2 linked regions of the Pelodiscus sinensis genome follow. The main gene of each other region encodes a partner of the protein of the gene in region 2 in a complex. Links are inferred from orthologs where the notes say so. Each region holds a gene or a part of one and is shown on either strand. Other genes may lie near its edges.

The links.
Region 1: KANSL3 (region 2) and KANSL2 share a complex: the UniProt entries of both Homo sapiens proteins name them as parts of the NSL complex. The link is inferred for Pelodiscus sinensis from reciprocal best matches to the Homo sapiens genes KANSL3 and KANSL2.

Annotation. Positions count from the first base shown.
Region 1 is NC_134729.1:5,181,789-5,191,582, forward strand, and holds the start of KANSL2 (KAT8 regulatory NSL complex subunit 2), read left to right. Parts: upstream 1-5,350; 5' UTR 5,351-5,482; intron 5,483-6,718; 5' UTR 6,719-6,720; coding exon 6,721-6,971; intron 6,972-7,744; coding exon 7,745-7,923; intron 7,924-9,794. UniProt on the Homo sapiens protein: Non-catalytic component of the NSL histone acetyltransferase complex, a multiprotein complex that mediates histone H4 acetylation at 'Lys-5'- and 'Lys-8' (H4K5ac and H4K8ac) at transcription start sites and promotes transcription initiation.
Region 2 is NC_134738.1:5,844,011-5,853,308, reverse strand, and holds the start of KANSL3 (KAT8 regulatory NSL complex subunit 3), read right to left. Parts: upstream 3,663-9,298; 5' UTR 3,521-3,662; intron 2,891-3,520; 5' UTR 2,818-2,890; coding exon 2,603-2,817; intron 1-2,602. Other genes in the region: FER1L5 (fer-1-like protein 5), read left to right, coding at 6,003-6,087, 7,083-7,138, 8,838-8,929. UniProt on the Homo sapiens protein: Non-catalytic component of the NSL histone acetyltransferase complex, a multiprotein complex that mediates histone H4 acetylation at 'Lys-5'- and 'Lys-8' (H4K5ac and H4K8ac) at transcription start sites and promotes transcription initiation.

The sequences.
Region 1 (9,794 bases), on a different chromosome or scaffold from region 2:
TTCGGGAAACCCTCTCTTCTGCACTGAACTCTGCCTGTCTTTTTAATGTTCTCTTTTAACCTGGAGCTGCACTGTCCCTGGCCAGGGAGTCTCAGTCTGTGTGGAGTTCTCAGCCAGTACCAGCCTCATCTGGCTTTGGGTGCAAAACTTTTATTCCCTCTTTACCTATGTAACACTGAGACTCTCAGCAGGGGTTTGGCCGTTGCTTGACCTGCACCTTTTGTGGCACATTCACTATCTCTTTAATCAAGCCATTAATGAGGTTGCTTCTTTTACATCACAGACACTTTGTAGCTCTGCCCTTTTTGCTATTAATGATTTTTTTTAGCAGGTGAGCAGTTTACTGCTTCAAATGTAGCCGCCTCAGGGGTTGGATGGAGAAGACCCTTCATAGGGTTCAACATGCAGGGGTTTCTCTGGGAGTGGGGGGCGGGGTGTGTCTTGCTGTTGTCTGGAATAAAATCTATTTTAATGGCTACATTTCTAGCACTTCCAACTGCCACTTTCCCGCTGGGATTGATGCTCTGCTGTCTTAGCCCTCGGCCATAAACAAGTGAATTTCATGGCCAAGCTGCAGGAATTGTATTCCCATCTAGACTCTACATGAAAAGGCCAGTCTTTCAAAAGTGCCCAGCACCGGACTTGAGATCGCTCATGAAGCTAGAATTTGGAGGGTTGTGTAAAACATCCAGCTGTATTAAATGAAGGGGAAAACCCAACAGTACTTAAATGTATCACCTTCACCACATGAGCTTGCAAATCCTGCATAGTTCATGGTCTGAGAGGCCTGGCTTTGCAGGTGTTTGTGCTGTATGGTGGATCCTGTTTAAAGAAAGGGGCCTGGGTTAGGATGTGGAGCACAGAAATTCTGGAGAAACATCTGTTCTCTAGGTTTCCTTTGCTTTTGATTTAAAAAAAAAAAAGTTCATAAGACAGTACAAAAAGGTAAATGACTAAAAGGGGTTTCCTTTTTAAGATACAGTAAGAGTTCAGCTTAAATCACGGAGAAACTTTCTTCTGGCATTCCTGCCCAAAATGGATCTTGCATCCCAGATGGAAAAAGAGCACAATGCACGGAGAAATCATTAGTGTTTCAGGCACTCTTAAATGCATGAATTCAGTGTCTGTTGTACCATCTAAAATTGCCTCTAGGTTTTATCCAGGTGTCTTAATGTGTTCATGTAAGAGAGCAGAGAATCTGACTTCTGATGTACTATGGGCTCAACTTACCCATTCTTCCTATCGCAGGCATCAGTGGATCAGGAAATGGAAACTGGAGGCCCTGACTTAAACCCCTTTGACATTCTGTGGTGACTCCGGTATAAGCTGACTTTCCTTCTGGCAGTGGAAAGAATGGCATGGGTGTAAGTCACTGGCTGTTGGAGGTGGGGTGGGGGCTGCTCTACTTGCAAGTTGCTTTTCCTGCAGTACCCTTTTCTGTGTAAGTTACCTGGCTTCCTCACCACTGAATGCTATATCTGCAAAGGAGGATACTCCATCATACTCACTCGGTGTGAACTGTAAAATGCTGCTGAAGTTGGCAGACGGGTGTTCCGATCTTATCTTCCAAATCCGACTGGAAAGTGGGGGTAAAAGACAGGGTGTGTGAAACCTCTGCAGTGAGGGAAGGCAGCAGTCCTGCCTGAATTTTCCACCCCACAGATAATCTCTGGCAGTGGTGAAGCTGCTCACTCTCTGGTCAGACACACCAAAAACATTTTGAGTGTGAAGATAGCAACCCTGCCCCTAGTAGCACTCCATGCGTTTTCCTCTCTGAGCACCTGTGGTCTAAAATTCTTTCATCCTTTGGGGAAGAAAGGGTGACTGGCAGGGGTGAGGGAGGAAGGGTAATTTAATACTATTCTGAACTGTTTATAAATATTTAAACTGTGGACACTTTTAAAAAAGAGAAGTTTGCTACAATTCCATGGTAAACTCATTTCCTTCAAGATACGGCTGTCTGGGAAGGGCACAACTGGCCTGAGTCTTCAGAGCCAACCACCTTTGGTCTGTGAAAGGGATGCTTGACAGCATTCAAAGCTACTGGTGCTTCACAACACCTTTGTACTAGAGGTTCTTGGGGTGGGTGGGTGATACAACTGTGCTGTTGCTAAGCTTTCTTTCTACAATTACCTAAAACGCAGATTGGAGTCCAATGTCACTTTCTTTTTTTAAACCCACATCAAGCCAAAGAGCAAAGTCAATGTGTGTTCTGATCTCACACTCAGGGTCTGCCTTATGGTTGCAAACTGACCGATTTTTTTTTTCTCCCCCTGCCCCCCTTTCCACCGCCGCTGTTGCCCTTGTCCTGATACCTACTGCATTCTCTGCCCTCTTTCCATCCCACCCCAATACAAAATGTGATGACTTTCAGCAAGAGCGTCTTGTGCACAAACAAGCAGGAAACTGGTTAACCAATTTGGCATCAGGTGTTTGGGATCTTGCTGTCAAGTATGTTCTCTGTATTTATCCACATCAATAAAAGTTAAAGGCAAAGGAGTCAAAGAATTCATCTGCTTCTTGGTTTTGTTTTTTTAAACTGGTAATTGCTATAATTCTGAAGGAAAAGTAGGCTGGCCATGAGGTTAAGGCATGGATTTAAAAAGAGAGACCGTTTCTTTTCCTGAGTCTGCCCTAGACTTTGTGGCCATTTCTTAGTTTCCTATAGAGAAAGGGGATTGGAGTGTCAGCCTCTTGTTAAAACACTTGGAGAAAAAAATGGTGTGTAACTACAAGAGGAATACCCCCCTAGCTGATTTCATCTGTTTGTGTGTGTAGAAAAATAGGAAGGGCTCTTACATGCCATTGAAAAGTAATTGCAAAAGTGTGTTCTTACTCTCTTGTGCATAATTCACTATTCAGCCTTCATTGCAATGAAGGCTGGATACCCAGTCATGAAAAGGAATTCCAGTGTGATGAGGTTCACATTGAATTTATAGTTGAGGACCATGATGGCCAATGTATTAGCCACTAGCCGTGTGTGGCTGTTTGGCCGGCTGAGTGTGGCTTGTTTGCTGAAGTGGCTACTGCTTCAGAACTGGTTGAACACAATGTGTCTAGGAGGAATAGCTCAAACCCTAGTTTGTACATTAAACAGCTGGAATTTTCTTCCCTTCCAATGTCTCTGATAATGGTTCCAGACAGGGCTATTTTGTCCAACTAGGCATGGCTCCCATAGCCAGGGTTGCCTAGTTTGGCTAAGGCTGTGAAGTCACTGTTCTCTTGATAGCCTTTTAGCACCTCTGAAAGGATGGGCTGGTCTTAATCCACAAAGTTAACCTGTCCGGGTTTGACTCACTCCCCCCACCGTAGTTCTGAGAACTAGCTGCAGCCATGGTACTGGTTATTGGGGGTCCAAGTTCTTCAGAGTCAAGTAGAGGCTGGCAACTTTTTTAAAGTGGGTGGTGGGGAGAAGAAGGAAGAGAAACAAGCCCAGCAATAGGCTGCTGGGGCCCTGTCCATAGGGGCTGCTGCTGTGACACAGGAGCGGTTGACTCTAGTAGAGGAAAGGAGAACCACCACTTATTTGTGCACTTGGACCTGCTGTCTGAAGCCACACTGCATAGAATCACAGGCTGGCCTCCTGCTTGGGCCTGATGAACTCAATCAGCAAGCAGGCACGGGGAATGTCTGTCTAATGAGAAGGGGTGGCTGAGCCTCAACCCCACTGCCCTGAGTAAGGGAAGGGACTGTTCAGCCAGACGTTACTCCCTTTGCCTGGAAGGGTCCCTTTGGGTCAGGAGCAAACCGAAGTGCAGAAGGGATAGGGAAGCCATAGAGCTGTGGTGTCCAACAGGAAAGCCACTAGCCACATGTGGCTATTTGGCCGGTTGAGTGTGGCTAGTTTGCTATAGCAGTAGCCATTATGGAACTGGTTGGAAGGGGAGCGTTACTGCAAGAGCAACTGGGAAGCAGCATAGCAGCTAAACTTGCTCTATGATGGTCCATCTAGCCAGCATCCTGTCTTCTGACAGTGGACAGTGTTCATTCCAGAGGGAATAAACTGGTCACCCATTCCTAGCTTCTGACAAACAGAAACTAGGGACACCACCCCTGCTCGTCTTGGCTAATAGCCATGGACCTAACCTCCACTTTTTTTTTCTTTTTTTTTTTGGCCTTCACAGCATCCTCAGGCAAGGAGTTCCACAGGCTGACTGTGTTATGTGAAGTGCTTCCTTTGGCTTGTGTTAAACCTGCTACCGGTTTGTCCTTCCAGCCCTGAGTTTAGGCTAGGCAGATCACTGTGGGCAGCAGCAGAATTGAGGCCTAGAGACAGACAGATGCACCCAGAGCCAGGAACTGGATCTGACTTGGCCAAGTCCAGCCTCATTTTCTCTTCCTCTTCAAGAATTACTGTGGCTGTGTCTAGACTGGCCAGTTTTTCTGGAAAATCAGCCGCTTTTCCGGAAAACCTTGCTAGCTGTCTACACTGGCTGCTTGAATTTCCGCAAAAGCACTGACTTCCTACTGTAAGAAATCAGTGCTTCTTGTGGAAATACTATTCTGCTCCCGTTCAGGCAAAAGTCCCTTTTGCTCAAAGCTTTTGCACAAAAAGCTCACACAGCTCAGATTTGTTTTCCGCAAAAAAGCCCCGATCGCGAAAATGGCGATAGGGGCTTTTTTGCGGAAAAGCGTGTCTAGATTGGCACGGACGCTTTTCCGCAAAAAGGGCTTTTGCGGAAAAGCGTCCGTGCCAATCTAGATGCTCTGTTCCGAAAATGCTTTAACGGAAAACTTTTCCGTTAAAAGCATTTCCGGAAAATCATGCCGCTCTAGACGCAGCCTGTGTGTTTAGTGAATGAAAGAGCTCTGGATGCCCAGCTTGGGGACACCACATGCCCCAGGCAGGGGGGGCTGGGCTGTTTCATCACCAGTTTGCCTATGGGTGCTTTTGGGGAGGGGTAATGCCGCAGGATTCCTCTGCTTCAAAATGCACCCCAACCTATAGCCCCATCCCTTCCCCCGCCAGCCCAGCCTCTCCACCTCCATAGCCATCCCCTCCCCACTCCTGACCTGCCCAGCTCTGCCTCCCTCTTCCTTCCCCTCCATAGCCATACCCTCCTGATCAGCCCAGCCCCATCTTCTGCCCTTTGCTTCCTGCCCTACTTCCCCACCACCATCCCCTCCCCTTCCTGCCCCCCCAGCCCAGCCTCTCCTGCCCCGCCCTCCCAACAGTAGTCCTACCCCATGGTCCATACCCCCTCCTCTCTCTCCCCCTGCATTACCCACACCCTCCAGCCCTTCCCCCACTCCTCCCCCTCCCCTCCCCTCCCCTCCCCTCCAGCCCTTCCCCCACTCCTCAGAAGCCTGCTCTCCCCGCCCCCCCTCCCGTCCCTGCAGGGGGCTGGCCTCGGCTCCCGGACTGATGGGTCTCTCCTCCAATGGCCGCGACGGGGCGGCCTCCTTCCCGTTCCTGGATTGGTGGCGAGTCTGGCCAATGGTGCGGCGGGGGCGGGCGCCAGTCGGTCTAGGCGCGGGCGAGGTAAGATGGCGGCGGTGTTTCCTTGCTAGGCCGATGGCGCGGCCCCCCCCCCAGGCAAAATGGCGGCGCTGAGGGGGGAACCTGCGGGGAGTTAGGGGGACCAGCCCGTAGGAGGCAGGGGGCAGAGCCTGGGGGCGGCCTGTGTTCGGGACCGCCTGTGGGGGTGGGGGGAGTCAGAAGCAGCTGGGGGTCAGCCTGTGGGGGGGGAGGGGAGAGCGGCTTGGGGGTCAGCCTGTGGGGGGGGGAGGGGAGAGCGGCTTGGGGGTCAGCCTGTGGGGGGGGAGGGGAGAGCCGCTTGGGGGTCAGCCTGTGGGGGGAGGGGAGAGCGGCTTGGGGGTCAGCTTGTGGGGGGGAGGGGAGGGGAGAGCGGCTTGGGGGTCAGCCTGTGGGGGGGGGAGGGGAGGGGAGAGCGGCTTGGGGGTCAGCCTGTGGGGGAAGCCCATGAGGGGGGCTGGGGAAAGTTGGGGGGGAACCATCCTGTGAGGTCTGCGGTCCAGGGAAGCAGCTGGGGGGGGGGGTCTGCCTCCCCCAGGGCATGTTTCAGATTCACATTCCCAAGTGGGGTTGGAAGCTCTTCAGGGCAGGGACACAGCACAGAGCCCGTGACTCTGGCTGGGGCCTCCCCTTCCTTTCCCGACACCTGTCAGGGCCTTAGGGTGGGGGTGGGATTGTGGCCCCTGAGCCCACGGCAGAATGTGGTGGGTGAGTCTTGGCAAAGGGGTGTCCTAGTTCTCTGTGGCAGGGGTGGGATGCAGGTGACTCTCACCCTGGAAGGGGCTATCTGGAGAACAGACCCTCCCCTTCCATGTTTTTCCTCCTTGCTGAGGAGACAGTCATGGCACAAAAAATGTGCCTGGGTCTGAATGGCAAAGAGTCTGAGTTGGGCCTCTCCCCATCCTCTTCTGTTTTGGGACCTCCACTGCCAGACAGCACAATGTGAATGCAGGGGACGGAAGTGGCAAAGTGACCAGAGATGCCATGAAGCTCCCACCTCCCAATGAAGAGCAGAATAAACCAAGACTGTAGGAAGGATTCCCTCGTCCTATTCTGTCTTGTAGTACTGAGGTGTCTTATTTTGTGCCAGGACACTGTCTGTATAGCACAGGGATTTATACCAACACTTTGACAAATTATTTGGTCCCTTTGATGATGATAACAGAGGCTGATCAGTTGTACTAGCTTGTGGGGTTTGCTCTAGATATAACAATTATCTGTACGTGTCTGTTGCATGTGTAGGCATGAACAGAATCCGGATCCACGTCTTGCCATCAAGTCGGGGGCGTGTTACCCCTGTGCCAAGGCCCCAGGAACCCTTGCCTTGTGCCTTCACACACCGTCAGTGTTCCCAGCCTCGGCTGGAAGGGCAAGAATTCTGCATTAAGCACATCCTAGAAGACCGGAATGCTCCCTTCAAACAGTGCAGCTATGTCTCAACTAAGAATGGGAAGAGGTGTCCAAATGCTGCTCCCAAAACTGAGAAGAAGGACGGGTAGGTGCTGGTAGAATTAAAGTGGCTTGGCAGGAATATCTTGTCATGCGAAGTATCAATCCCATGGCTAAGGCACAATACAAGGAGCCAGGAGTTTTAGTTTTAGTCCTAGTTAGGCTGCTTTCTCATTGTGGGACCTTGAACAAGTCAGTCTGTCTTTAGCCATCTGCAAAGTGGGAGTAATTATCTGATAGAGGAATTAAAAGTTCATTAATGCTTATAAAGTGCTTTGAGATCCTTGGGTGAAAGGGGCTGGAGAATTGTGTAATGTTTGTTTCCTGGTGCTGGCATCACTGCAGATTTTTATCTTCAACAGTCATAGTGTCAGTTTGGAAATAAGTACGCCCTCTGAGATCACAAATATTTGAATCCCCGGAATTTTGAGTGGAGTCCTTGTGAGGTAAAGATGTTCAGCCCTATGCACGTGGGTCATTAAAAATCCTAGTATCAGTTTTTTGTAAGAGGGAGGGCTTGACCTCGTCCCCTCATCTTACTGCTAGGCCATGTGGCTGCCACCTTCATGGCAGAGGTAACTGCATTTCAGTGGTTGTGCGTGTGGTTTGTCAATCATATATTCTTTAATATATTAGGAACTATACAAATGACTGTCAGAGTTGCTTGAATTTATCATTGTGTTGGAGGAAAGAAGTGGAGATGACTCCTTTTCTAAGCCAAGTGCCAGTGAATACTTTTCACTATATTGCTGTGTTTGCCTTGCTGATTGGAAGCTATGAATTCTGCGAGCCATACAACATTTTGTTTTGTCCCCGCAGGGTATCATTCTGTGCTGAACATACCCGCAGAAATGTGCTGGCACATCAAGCCCAGCTGAAGAAATCCAGCCCTGGACCTATGGGCGAGACTCTTCTTTGCCAACTTAGCACTTATGCAAAGACGGAGCCGGGCTCCCAGACAGCAGAAAGCAGCCGCAGTGAAGCTAGTCGAATCCTAGGTAAGAGTTTCGAATGAAACAGATGAGAATAAATGAATTTGGGGGAAGCTGCGCTCTCTGGGGCTAAAATACAAGAGGAACCAATAACACAGTCACCCAATTAAGAGGAAAAGGAACAATCCCAAGGGATCTGTGGTAAAAAACCATTGTGTCTTAAGATAGACTGTGCTTACTGGTCTCATCACTGGACCCTAAGTCAGGATCTCCTGGTGTTACCCTAGTTAAGCTACGCCTTTCTGGGCTTAGGTTTTCCCCTCCTGTAAAACATGGGACAATGCATCCAAATGAATTTGTGAAATTTAATTAGTAAACATCTGTTCAAGTGCTCCTCTTACTATCCTATCTGAAGAATACCCTTACTACTTCAGCTTGCAGGTTCTGTGCCCTATACAGTGGCTCTCAACCGTTCCAGAGTACCATATCCCTTGCAGGAGTCCGATTTGTTTTGTGTACCCCCAGGCTTCACCTCATTTAAACTTACTTGCTTACAAAATCAGACACTATTACTGAAATAACGCTATTACTGAAAAATTGCTTGCTTTTTCATTTTTACCCTGTAATTATAAAATAAATTGGAATATAAATATTGTACTTACATTTCAGAGTATGGTATAAAGAGTAGTATAAGCAAGTCATTATCAATATGAAATTTTAGTTTGTACTGACTAGTGTTGTAATAGTGTATCATAGAATACTAGGACTGGAAGGGACCTCGTGAGGTCGAGTCCAGTCCCCTGCCCTAATGGCAGGACCAAATACTGTCTAGACCATCCCTGATAGACATTTATCTAACCTACTCTTAAATATCTCCAGAGATGGGGATTCCATAACCTCCCTGGGCAATTTATTCCAGTGTTTGACCACCCTGACAGATAGGAACTTTTTTCTAATGTCCAACCTAAACCTCCCTTGCTGCAGTTTAAGCCCATTGCTTCTTGTTCTATCCTTAGAGGCCAAGATGAACAAGTTTTCTCCCTCCTCCTTATGACACCCTTTTAGATATCTGAAAACTGCTATCATGTCCCCCCTCAATCTTCTCTTTTCTAAACTTAAACAAACCCAATTCCTTCAGCCTTCCCTCTTAGGTCATGTTCTCTAGACCTTTAATCGTTCTCGTTGCTCTTCTCTGGACCCTCTCCAATTTTTCCACATCTTTCTTGAAATGCGGTGCCCAGAACTGGACACAATACTCCAATTGAGGCCTAACCCCAGCGCAGAGTAGAATGGAAGAATGACTTCTCGTGTCTTGCTCACAACACACCTGTTAATACATCCCAGAAACATGTTTGCTTTCTTTGCAACAGCATCACACTGCTGACTCATATTTAACTTGTGGTCCACTATAACCCCTAGATCCCTTTCTGCCGTACTCCTTCCCAGACCGTCGCTTCCTATTCTGTATGTGTGAAACTGATTGTTCCTTCCTAAGTGGAGCACTTTGCATTTGTCTTTATTAAACTTCATCCTATTTATCTCAGACCATTTCTCCAATTTGTCCAGGTCATTTTGAATTATGACCCTATCCTCCAGATTAATCGCAATCCCTCCCAGTTTGGTATCATCTGCAAACTTAATAAGTGTACTTTCTATACCAATATCTAAATTGTTGATGAAGATATTGAACAGAGCCGGTCCCAAAACAGACCCCTGCGGAACCCCACTTGTTATGCCTTTCCAGCAGGATTGTGAACCATTAATAACTACTCTCTGAGTATGGTTATCCAGCCAGTTATGCACCCACCTTATAGTAGCCCCATCTAAGTTGTATTTACCTAGTTTATTGATAAGAGTATCATGCAAGACCGTATCAAACGCCTTACTAAAGTCTAGGTATACCACATCCACCGCTTCTCCCTTATCCACAAGACTCG
Region 2 (9,298 bases):
CAAAGTTATTAGCTCATGCCCAGTTCCTCTCTAAGGCTACGTCTACCCTGAAGCGCTAATTCGGGATACCAGAGTATCCCAAAATAGCTATCCCACATCTTCACAGCAAGATGTGGAATAGCTATTTCAAAACATAACAGACTCGCTATTCCGAAATCCCTGTAAACCTCATTCCACAAGGAATAAGGGACGTTTCAAGATATTCTGAAATTTGGCGCAAAAGTACGAAATAAGCTTATTTCAAGCTATGGTGCTATGTAGACACACCCTAAAGGTTTTGTTTAGAATAAAATATAGCAATATGATGTTAGCTCAAACTACCCAACTCAACCTAATTAACTGCTTCTAAAAGTGTAGTCAAAACAAAGCCACTGTACTTACATGATTAGCTTTTTCTAAGCAGATTTCTACACTTTAACTGGACTTACTGAATGTTTCAGGCCTTGTCTAGACCAGAATGTAAAGGTATGATGTTCGCACTGGAGCTAGGCAGGAAACAATTTTCCTGACCCAGGAAAATTTTTGAGATTTTGAAAAATACTCTCATCCTGAATCTAGAGCTGTTTCAGAAAAAGGCTGCTTCTTCGCAGAATGAGGATTACCAATGCCGGAAAAACCCCTCTGTTCTTTTGATTTTCCTGAGGAAGAATGCAATTGCAGTTTTGACATTCCTCAAGTTTTGTTGGAAAAACAGTTGTTTTTCTGACAAAACTCTGTAGCATAGACATACCCTAGGTGAAAATTCAAAATCTGGCAAATGTACATAAATTGGAAATGCAACAAATGTCTCCAATCAAGTCAATTACAAAATTTAATTTCAATATCTAGTGAAAGAGCAGAAAATTAATTTCACCTCTGTATTAGAGATGTGACTGGGTAACAGTTAACCACCTCTCCCTCTCCCCATCTTTCCCCTTTAATCAGTTAACTGGTTAAACTTAATATTTAACCAGTTAACTAATTAAATGGGATTTTACATCCTACTCTTTACTTGGCACTGGTAAGACCGATGCTGGAATACTGTGTGCAGTTCTGCTGCCCACAAATCAAAATGGGTATAGATAAACTGGAGAAGTCCAAAGAAGAGCCACAAGAATGATTAAGGCTTAGAAAGCCTGTCTTATAATGAAAGACACAAGCAGCTCATCTATTTTGTTTAACAAAGAGAAGACTAAAGGGTGACTTGAGTACAGGCTGAAAGTACCTATGTGCGGAATAAATATCTGATAATGGGCTCATCAATGTAGCACAGTTGTTTTCAACCTGTGGTCTGCAGGCCCCTGGAGGTCTGCAGATGTCTTAAATTTCCAAATGGGTCAGCACCTCCATTTGAAATGTTTAGGGGCCTGCAAATGAAAAAAGGTTGAAAATGAAAAAGGCTGCAAATTTTCAAAATGGAATTCTCACAATTCCAAAACATTGTTTTCATTTTTTTTTCAAAAGGGGAAAGTCTAACAGCAACAGTTTCAATTTAGAAATATCAGTATATCTGACATTTAACTGAAAACTTCAAACCCAGCTCAATTAGTGTGTGTTAATGCTTTAAAAATTGATTCTAGACAAAGCAGGTTGCCCTCTAGGGGAGAACTTCTACAGCTTACATGGTCAGGTACAAATTGTCCTGTTTAGAGAACTGACAGATGAAATTCAATGTTGACAAATGTAAAGTAATGCATATTGGAAAACTCAACTTGGCACATAAATGGAGTCTAAATTAACTGGTATCATTCAAGAGAACTTGGAGTCATTGTGCATACGTCTTTGAAAACATCCCTTCAGTGTGCAGCAGCAGCCAAAAAAGTGAATAGAATGTTGGGAATCATCAAGAAAGGGACAGATAAGACAGAAAATATCATAATGCCTCTATATAAGTTCATGGTAAGCGACATGCAGATGTGGTCACCCCATCTTGAAACAGATATATTGACATTGGACAAGGTACAAAAAAAGCAACAAAAATGACTGGGGTATGGAACAGCTTCCACACGAGCAAAGAGAAGACTGCGTCTCTTCAGTTTGGGAAAAGAGACTACTACCGAGAGATATGGTAGAGATCTATAAAATCATGACTGGTATAGAGAAGAAAGTGTTATTTACTCCTCATAACAGAAGAACTCAGGGTTACCCAATGAAATGAATAGGCAGCAAGTTTAAAATAAAGGAAACATTTCTTCATACAACACAAAACCAGTGGAATTCCTTGCCAGAGGCTGTTGTGAAAGCTAGGACTTTAACAGGGTTCAAAAAAGAGCTGGATAAATTCGTGGAGGACAGGTCCATCGATGGCTATTAGCCAGGACGGGTAGGAATGGTGTCCTCTGCCAGTGTGTGTCAGAAGCTTGATCATTCCCTGCTCTGTTCTTTCCCTCTGGGACACCTGGCATTGGCCACTGTCTGGGCTAGAAGGACCTTTGGCCTGACCCAGTCTTGCCATTCTATGTTCTTATGCTGGGGTTTTAATATGTTACCTACTGTGTTGAAAAGCACCTTGAAAGCAGATACAGAAAGCAAGAAAGCCATCAGAGCATAGGAAAGGAGTATCCAAAATATGTGTGAATCCAAAGCAAATTAACTCAGAAGCACTAGAAAGGGCTTTGCTCACATGCTGCTGTCTTGGTGCCTCCTGGGGGTGACGAAAAGCATCCGTGCAGGCCGGGCACTGCTGGCGTCAGGGTGGGCACTCCATGGCTTGGCATAGCTATGGTCCAAGAAGACGAGGTCTAGCTCTCTCTCATGGACAGAGAGCTGGAAGAGCAACGAGGTTCCCATCCTCCTGGCTGAAGTCTGGAAGTCCCGCTCAGTGCCTCGGTAGGTCATGTCTTCTGGGTCGTCCCAGCATCTAGCGCCAACGTAAATGCCTCTTCCGGCTCCTCATCCTGGCCTCCTTGCACTGGGACAGGACAGGAGAGGGAGGGTGAACATGCTGCAGGAAAAGGGCCCTGCTGTATTGACCCAGCCCCAATAAAGCACAAAACAGGACAGACCCCCACCTCGCCAGACAGCCTGGGGCCCCTTAGCGTGTGTGCAAACTGCTCCAGCCCCAGAATGCCCCCAGTCAGGGCCCTCCTGCTACGAACTGGCACCACCACCACCCTGCCCCCCCAAGCCCCCTGCCCTGCCCCCCGCTCCCATCCCCCCAAATCCCACCCTGCCCCCCCAAACCCCCCGCTCCCCTCCCCCCAAATCCCACCCTGCCCCCCCAAACCCCTTGCCCCCACCCTGCCCCCCGAAACCCCCCGCTCCCATCCCCCCAAATCCCACCCTGCCCCCCCAAGCCCCCTGCCCTGCCCCCCGCTCCCATCCCCCCAAATCCCATCCTGCCCCCCCAAACCCCCCGCTCCCATCCCCCCTGCCCCTCCAAACCCCCCGCTCCCCTCCCCCCAAATCCCGTCCTGCCCCCCAAACCCCCTGCCCCGCCCCCCGCCCAGGCGCGCCGCAAGGGGGGGGAGCAAGGTCCGGGGGGGTCCTGGGGGGGCAGGGCGCTGGGGGAGGGTTCGGGGGGGGGCTCCGCTCCGCTCACCCGGGGCCGGCTCCGCGCCTCAGGCTCTCGCCGTTCCACCAGGCCTCAGCCGCCCGCCCGGCCCCGCGCACTGCGCAGGCGCCGCTCCCGCAAACCCCGGAGCCCGGACCTCGGAGCGGAGCGCGCGGCGCTGACACATGCCGGAGAGCGGATCGGCCCCGCGCGGAGCGGAGCTGGGCCAGGAAGGCTGAATGGGGGAGGCTTGTCGCAGCGCAGCCACGGGGCCTGCTGGCCAGCCCTGGTGCCCCCCCCCCCCGTGTGAGCCGAGCTCTCTCCCAGCCCCGGTGCCCCCGTGTGAGCCGAGCTCTCTCCCAGCCCTGGTGCCCTGATCACACTGGTGCATGAAACTCCGGGTGCACAGAGCCCCAGTCACTTAAACTAGTATCTTGGTTTCAGTGAGTTAAATTCCGGAAACCCTGGTGTTCCTGGCACCACCGCCGATGGCGAAATAGGCAAATACTGGGGTAGGGCCTCCCCGATGCCAGGGTGAGTGCGGGGCAGAATCCCGATCCCTGCTCCCACCGAGGCTGCATCGACCCCCCCCAAGCCGGGGGATGTGGTGCAATGCAGGGGATAGGAGAGACCCACAAATACATGCAACTGCAAACAGCGCTTCCATGAAGGGATCCCATCCAGGAGGGTCTCTTGTATGTAGCACTCTGGAATGGTTACTTGATGAAGGGTTAAGAGTGTATTTTAATTATAAATCGGCTTAGAAACACTGGTTAAGAAAATGTACAACCCTGAAGAGCTCTATCATGTATTCCAGGGGTTCCCAAACTTTTCAGAATCACACCCCCTTTTTGATTTTTGAGAAACCCTCACACCTGCCCCCCCAAAACTTGTTGAGCAAAAAAAAAAGAAAGGAACTGACCAGGCCCAAAAAACAGTCGTGGCCCCTTTGATTCCCAGGACCTGTGTAAAAACAAAGGTACCAATACTCCAGGTGTGTGTTCCAGTGGACACCCAAGCCAGGAAAAATAGAAAATACTGGACATTTCACATGGTATTTTCTGAATTTTTTTTACCAGACTGACCAGGCTCTTTCTTGGGGGAGGGGCGGGGGGAGGTTGACGGGGGGGGCTGGGTTGCCTTGCGCCCCCCTGGAATCTCTTCACACACCCCAAGGGGGGGCATGCCCCCCAGTTTGGGAATCTATGATGTATTCCATAATATATTTCATGTTGTATTCAGCAGGACAGCTGACTAATCCCTTTACTACAAACTTTTTGCAAATAAACCTCTGACAAACCTCAGGGTATATCAAAACACATGTAACTGACATTTTTTATTCACAAGTTTAGTGCTTTCAGTAAGGTACCGTCTGCTTGCCCAGTCTTCACCACCTGGCATGCAATGGAAAACACGCTCCATTTTCTTCAGAAAGACAATGCAGAAGAGTGGGGGGGGGTGATATCATTTGTTTCATTTGGGCTCAGGGATTTGGGTGGAAGAGGATGAACAGGGAGTGGGAGGGAAGAGAAGAAGACAGTGGGGTGAGGGCGTGGCCTGGAGGGGAGAAGGGGTCGAATGTGTGTTGGGCACAGGGAGAAGATGAGGGTAGGAAGGTCACCTCCCCAGCAGAAGCTTCACCCACCACCCTGCGTTCAGTGTTTGCATAGGTCCCCCAGCAGCCTCTTACTCTGCTTAGGGAGTTTCCACAAGCTGCTGAAATAAGCAGTAATTGGATCTTTGTTTGACCAACTGCTACCTCCAGGGTTCTCACACATTAGGCAAGTCTTACACTGGCTATGTGGGCTAGGTACATTTCCAGGGAAGGAAAGGACACCCAATGATTATTAGTCTATCATGTCTCCAAAACCTTATCAGTGACTCATAACACAGAACAAAACTTCATGTTAAGAAAGAGGGTGATTTGCCCACCAATTACATGTAGCCAAGTCTGGAGGGTAGCTTGGCCATTGTTTAACAACTCAGATCAACACTACATGATGTCTTAGGTCAAAGTGAAAAAAGCATTGTATCCAGTGGAAGCAGCAGGCTGAATGCAGACATCAATGTGGGAATTTGTTCAAGACACCAAAAAATGTCCAGGTACTACCAATAGCCAAGGCAGTCAGCACCTCAGGTTTTATCTCCAAAGCCATAGCATGGGATCAAACAGCTGACCCTCGCTGATCTATGAATGGAAGCCTCTTTCTTTCCTATTATGGCATCACTTCCTAGATGCACTATTTGGCCTTTTCCTCTATGTGATGTCATGCCTCACTCTGATCTACTTCCTGGAAACGGAAAGTGCATTCCGTACAGACAGGACTTCCAGTGAGACAAAGCCACAAAGCGGCATTCGGAGGTAAGCTGTAAACACATGAGTTACTGCTACTAACAACCCACTGACAGGACAAAAAACAGGGATGGGCAGAGTAAAGGGGAAAGAAGGAAGTACTGAAGGGCTTGTATGGTTACAGAATAAAGTCATTGGCTACGAAGAAGGGAGAGCATCAGCAGAGGTGGAACAGAAATGCTGCACCTCGTGGTTCTGTCTGCCAACATCCCCCCTGCAAAATTCACCACACCTGACTCCCACGTGTCTGCCACCTTCAGAGGTAACAACTATTTGCTCCCTATTTCCCTGGAGATAAGTCGATAACCCTTTGCCCGTCTCAGGTGCATTTTGTCTCTGCACATCAAGGGCCTCCTGCTGTTCCGAGCTGAGTGGTACGGAGGCAATGAATCTACTTAGTACTGAAGGACAAGACAAGAAGCCGCCCTCCCCCCCCCCATGAGCTGTGCAGCGGGGTTTGTAACAAGGCAGGGCTTCCCCCTTCTCGACAAGGCCTCCAACACACCCATCTCTCTTTTCTGCTGCTTTCTTGTAGTGGCTTCAACAAAACCTCCCCCTGGCTCCTCCCCTTCGCTCTCCGGCTCCCACAGCCGCCCTTCCCGGGAAGTCTGGCAGTCCTGCTGCGCCTGCTTCTATGCCCTGTTCCACACCCAGGGCTTTTCTCCCTGGATGCCCCTTCCAGATCAGGTCTCAGGCACTCTCTTCCTCCTCGCCCAGGGGCCCTGGCAGCCTCCAAACTCCCCTTCAGCTGGCCTCCCTTTCCCCGGTGCCCTCAATGCTGGGTCAGCTGATGCAACCCACCTGCACTGGCCCTGCTCTCTGAACAGCCTCTGTGACTTTGTGGGGGGAGGCTTGGGGGGGGGGAGTCTCCAGGATTGCCCGGGGTTAGGGCCTTCAGGAGTTAAAGGGGCTCACAGGAGCATTGTTAAGGCATCTGCGCCAAGCAGAACACAGGTCAAAACCAAAGCCAGGGAAGGAAACGTACCTTCGTAGGCACGAAGGCCGAGATTTCAAAGTGTCTGAGAGATTCAGATGCCTCGATTTTATGAAAATGAAAGGCAACTGGCCCTCCAAATCCCTGCCAAAGTTTGAAAGTTTAGACTTGTGTGTCATCTTTGACCGTCAGGGCAGGCCCCTGGCCTGCAGGGCAGACTAGATGAACATAGTGGCCCATTCCGGCCTTGGAACCTAGGACTCCACGGCACAGCCTGGCAGTGGAAAGCTGGGGGCATCCGCGGTATGTCTAATCTCTCCTAGATGTCACAAGGAGCACCAGAGTCGTGCAGAAGGAGCAGAATCCCACCTGGAATGAGGTAAGACTCAGCTAGCAAGCGTGTTCCCCCTCTGCTCCAAATGTGGCACATGCGCGCAGGCTGCCCCGAATCTACCAGACTGATGTGCAAATTCTGCTTTGTCGGAGGGTGATTGCACTGGCGTGTACGTGTGGGTCAGTCCACCCCTCAGACCTCTGGGCCAGTCTACACGCTGCTAGCCCATTGGTCAAGTTTAGGCTTGAAATGAGGTGAAGATTTCTAGCCAGCAGAGGGGTGAAGGTCTGGAACAGCGCCGGACCGAGCCATACTTGCACCCTGGGCAGCTGCCCAGCTAACCCCCGCTTAATCCGGCCTTGGTCTGAAACAAGCTCCCAAGGGGAGCAGTGGGGGCAAAGACCTACCTGAGCTTGGTAAGTTTATGGCAGGACGGATGCGCTGCCCCCAAAGGCATGGAGCTGACCTATGACTGCTACCAGCAAAGATCTGCAGTGGCCAGAGATGGGACACAGAGTTACTGCAAAGGATTCCTTCCCAGCTATCCGCCTGGTGGGTCTTGCCCACATGGGCAGGGTCTAACTGGTTGCTGTATTTGGGGTCGGGAAGGAATTTCCCCCTGGGTCAGATTGGCAGAGAAACTGGGATGAGGGAGAGTCACCTTCTTTGCAGTGTGGGGCACAGGTGTGTAAATGGCCATTCTGGGTCAGACCAAAGGGCCATCTCGCCCAGGGTCCTGGCTGCCGGCAGCGGCCAATGCCAGGGGCCCCGGAGGGAGAGAACAGAACAGGGAATCAGCTGATCCCACCCCGTTGCCCGTTCCCAGCTTTTGGCAAACAGAGGCCAGGGACACCCTCCCTGCTCATCCTGGCTAATAGCCATTGATGGATCAGTCTTCCATGGATTTATACAACTCCTACGTGCACCCTTCGCTGGATTTCAGAGCCCACGCACCAGCCGGACTGGGAACTTTCCCACTGCTATTCTTAGCGCTGTCGCTGAGCCCTGGGGGCCTGCGTCTCTAGGCCCAGGCTCTGGATTTACTACTGCAGGTGTGTCTTCGCAGTGTAGACATACCCAGAGAACTGGCCAACGTGGTGTGAGAGGTCAGGTCACAGAGATCCCCTTGGGACTGTCACCCGATGTGCTAATCATACCACTGAGTCCACCTGCCTGCCCTCGGGGGCGCCCCACCACCTGTCCTGATGGGCCAGAAGCTCTGGCCTCCCCCAGCCATGGCACAGGGTTGGAGTAAGAGCCCCCCCAGCAGAGTAATACAGACACTGAGAGCAGCTTAGGGGAGGGGGGGGCTCAGTTACAGGGACTTGCCAGCACTTGGGAGCATGGCCCCAATGAGACCAAACCCCCAGATAAAGCCACTTGATTCCGTATAAAAGTTCTACGCAGAGAAAGATCAGGTCAGTCCCCGTCGCCAATGAGAGATGCCACCAGCTGTTCCTCCGCCCCCAGGCAGCAGTTACTGGCGCTGGATGACAAACAAAAGTGATTTTATTAAGTGGGATCCGAGTGGCTGCAAGCGATGACAAATCAGCCCAGTAACTTACTTGGAACCAACAGGCCAGCTGAGCCCAGTGCATGAAGAAACCTTGTGAGACATGACGCTTTGTAACTCCAGACCCTATCTCAGGGGAGGTCCAGGTAGCGGAGTTAACCCAGTGTCAGTGCGACCAGAATTGGCCCCGCGGCGCCAGGTGATGGGCATATTGTGCTGCTTCTCCTGCAGACGCTGGTGTGGCTCCTGGCAGATCAGCCCCTGGACTGCGCCTCCTTCCTGGACGTACAGCTCCGGGAGTGGGGTTGCCCAGCTACAGAAAGGTGAATCGCCAAGAGCCAGTAAAGACTGAGCCTCTTGGGCTCTCTGGGGGCTGGTCCCTCGTGTTCCCACCCTCCTCCACCCACACATACTCCAGCATTTCCCTTCCAGCCAAGGAGACTGGCGTGGGGCGGGGGGGGGGGGGTTCTCCCTTGTTGCCCCTTCCAAAGCTTGGTCTTAACTAGGACCGTGGGTGGGAACATGCTGCCTAACCCTGACCCTTCTGCTGCCTTTCCTGGGCAAGAGCAGGACTCAGCGTCACTTCCACGTCACAACAATTCTGCCCTCCCCCTACAAGCCCCCTCAAAGTCTTCATGTACCTGCCCCGCTCCCGCCCCAACCGGGTCCTTTATATACCACTGGCCCCCCGT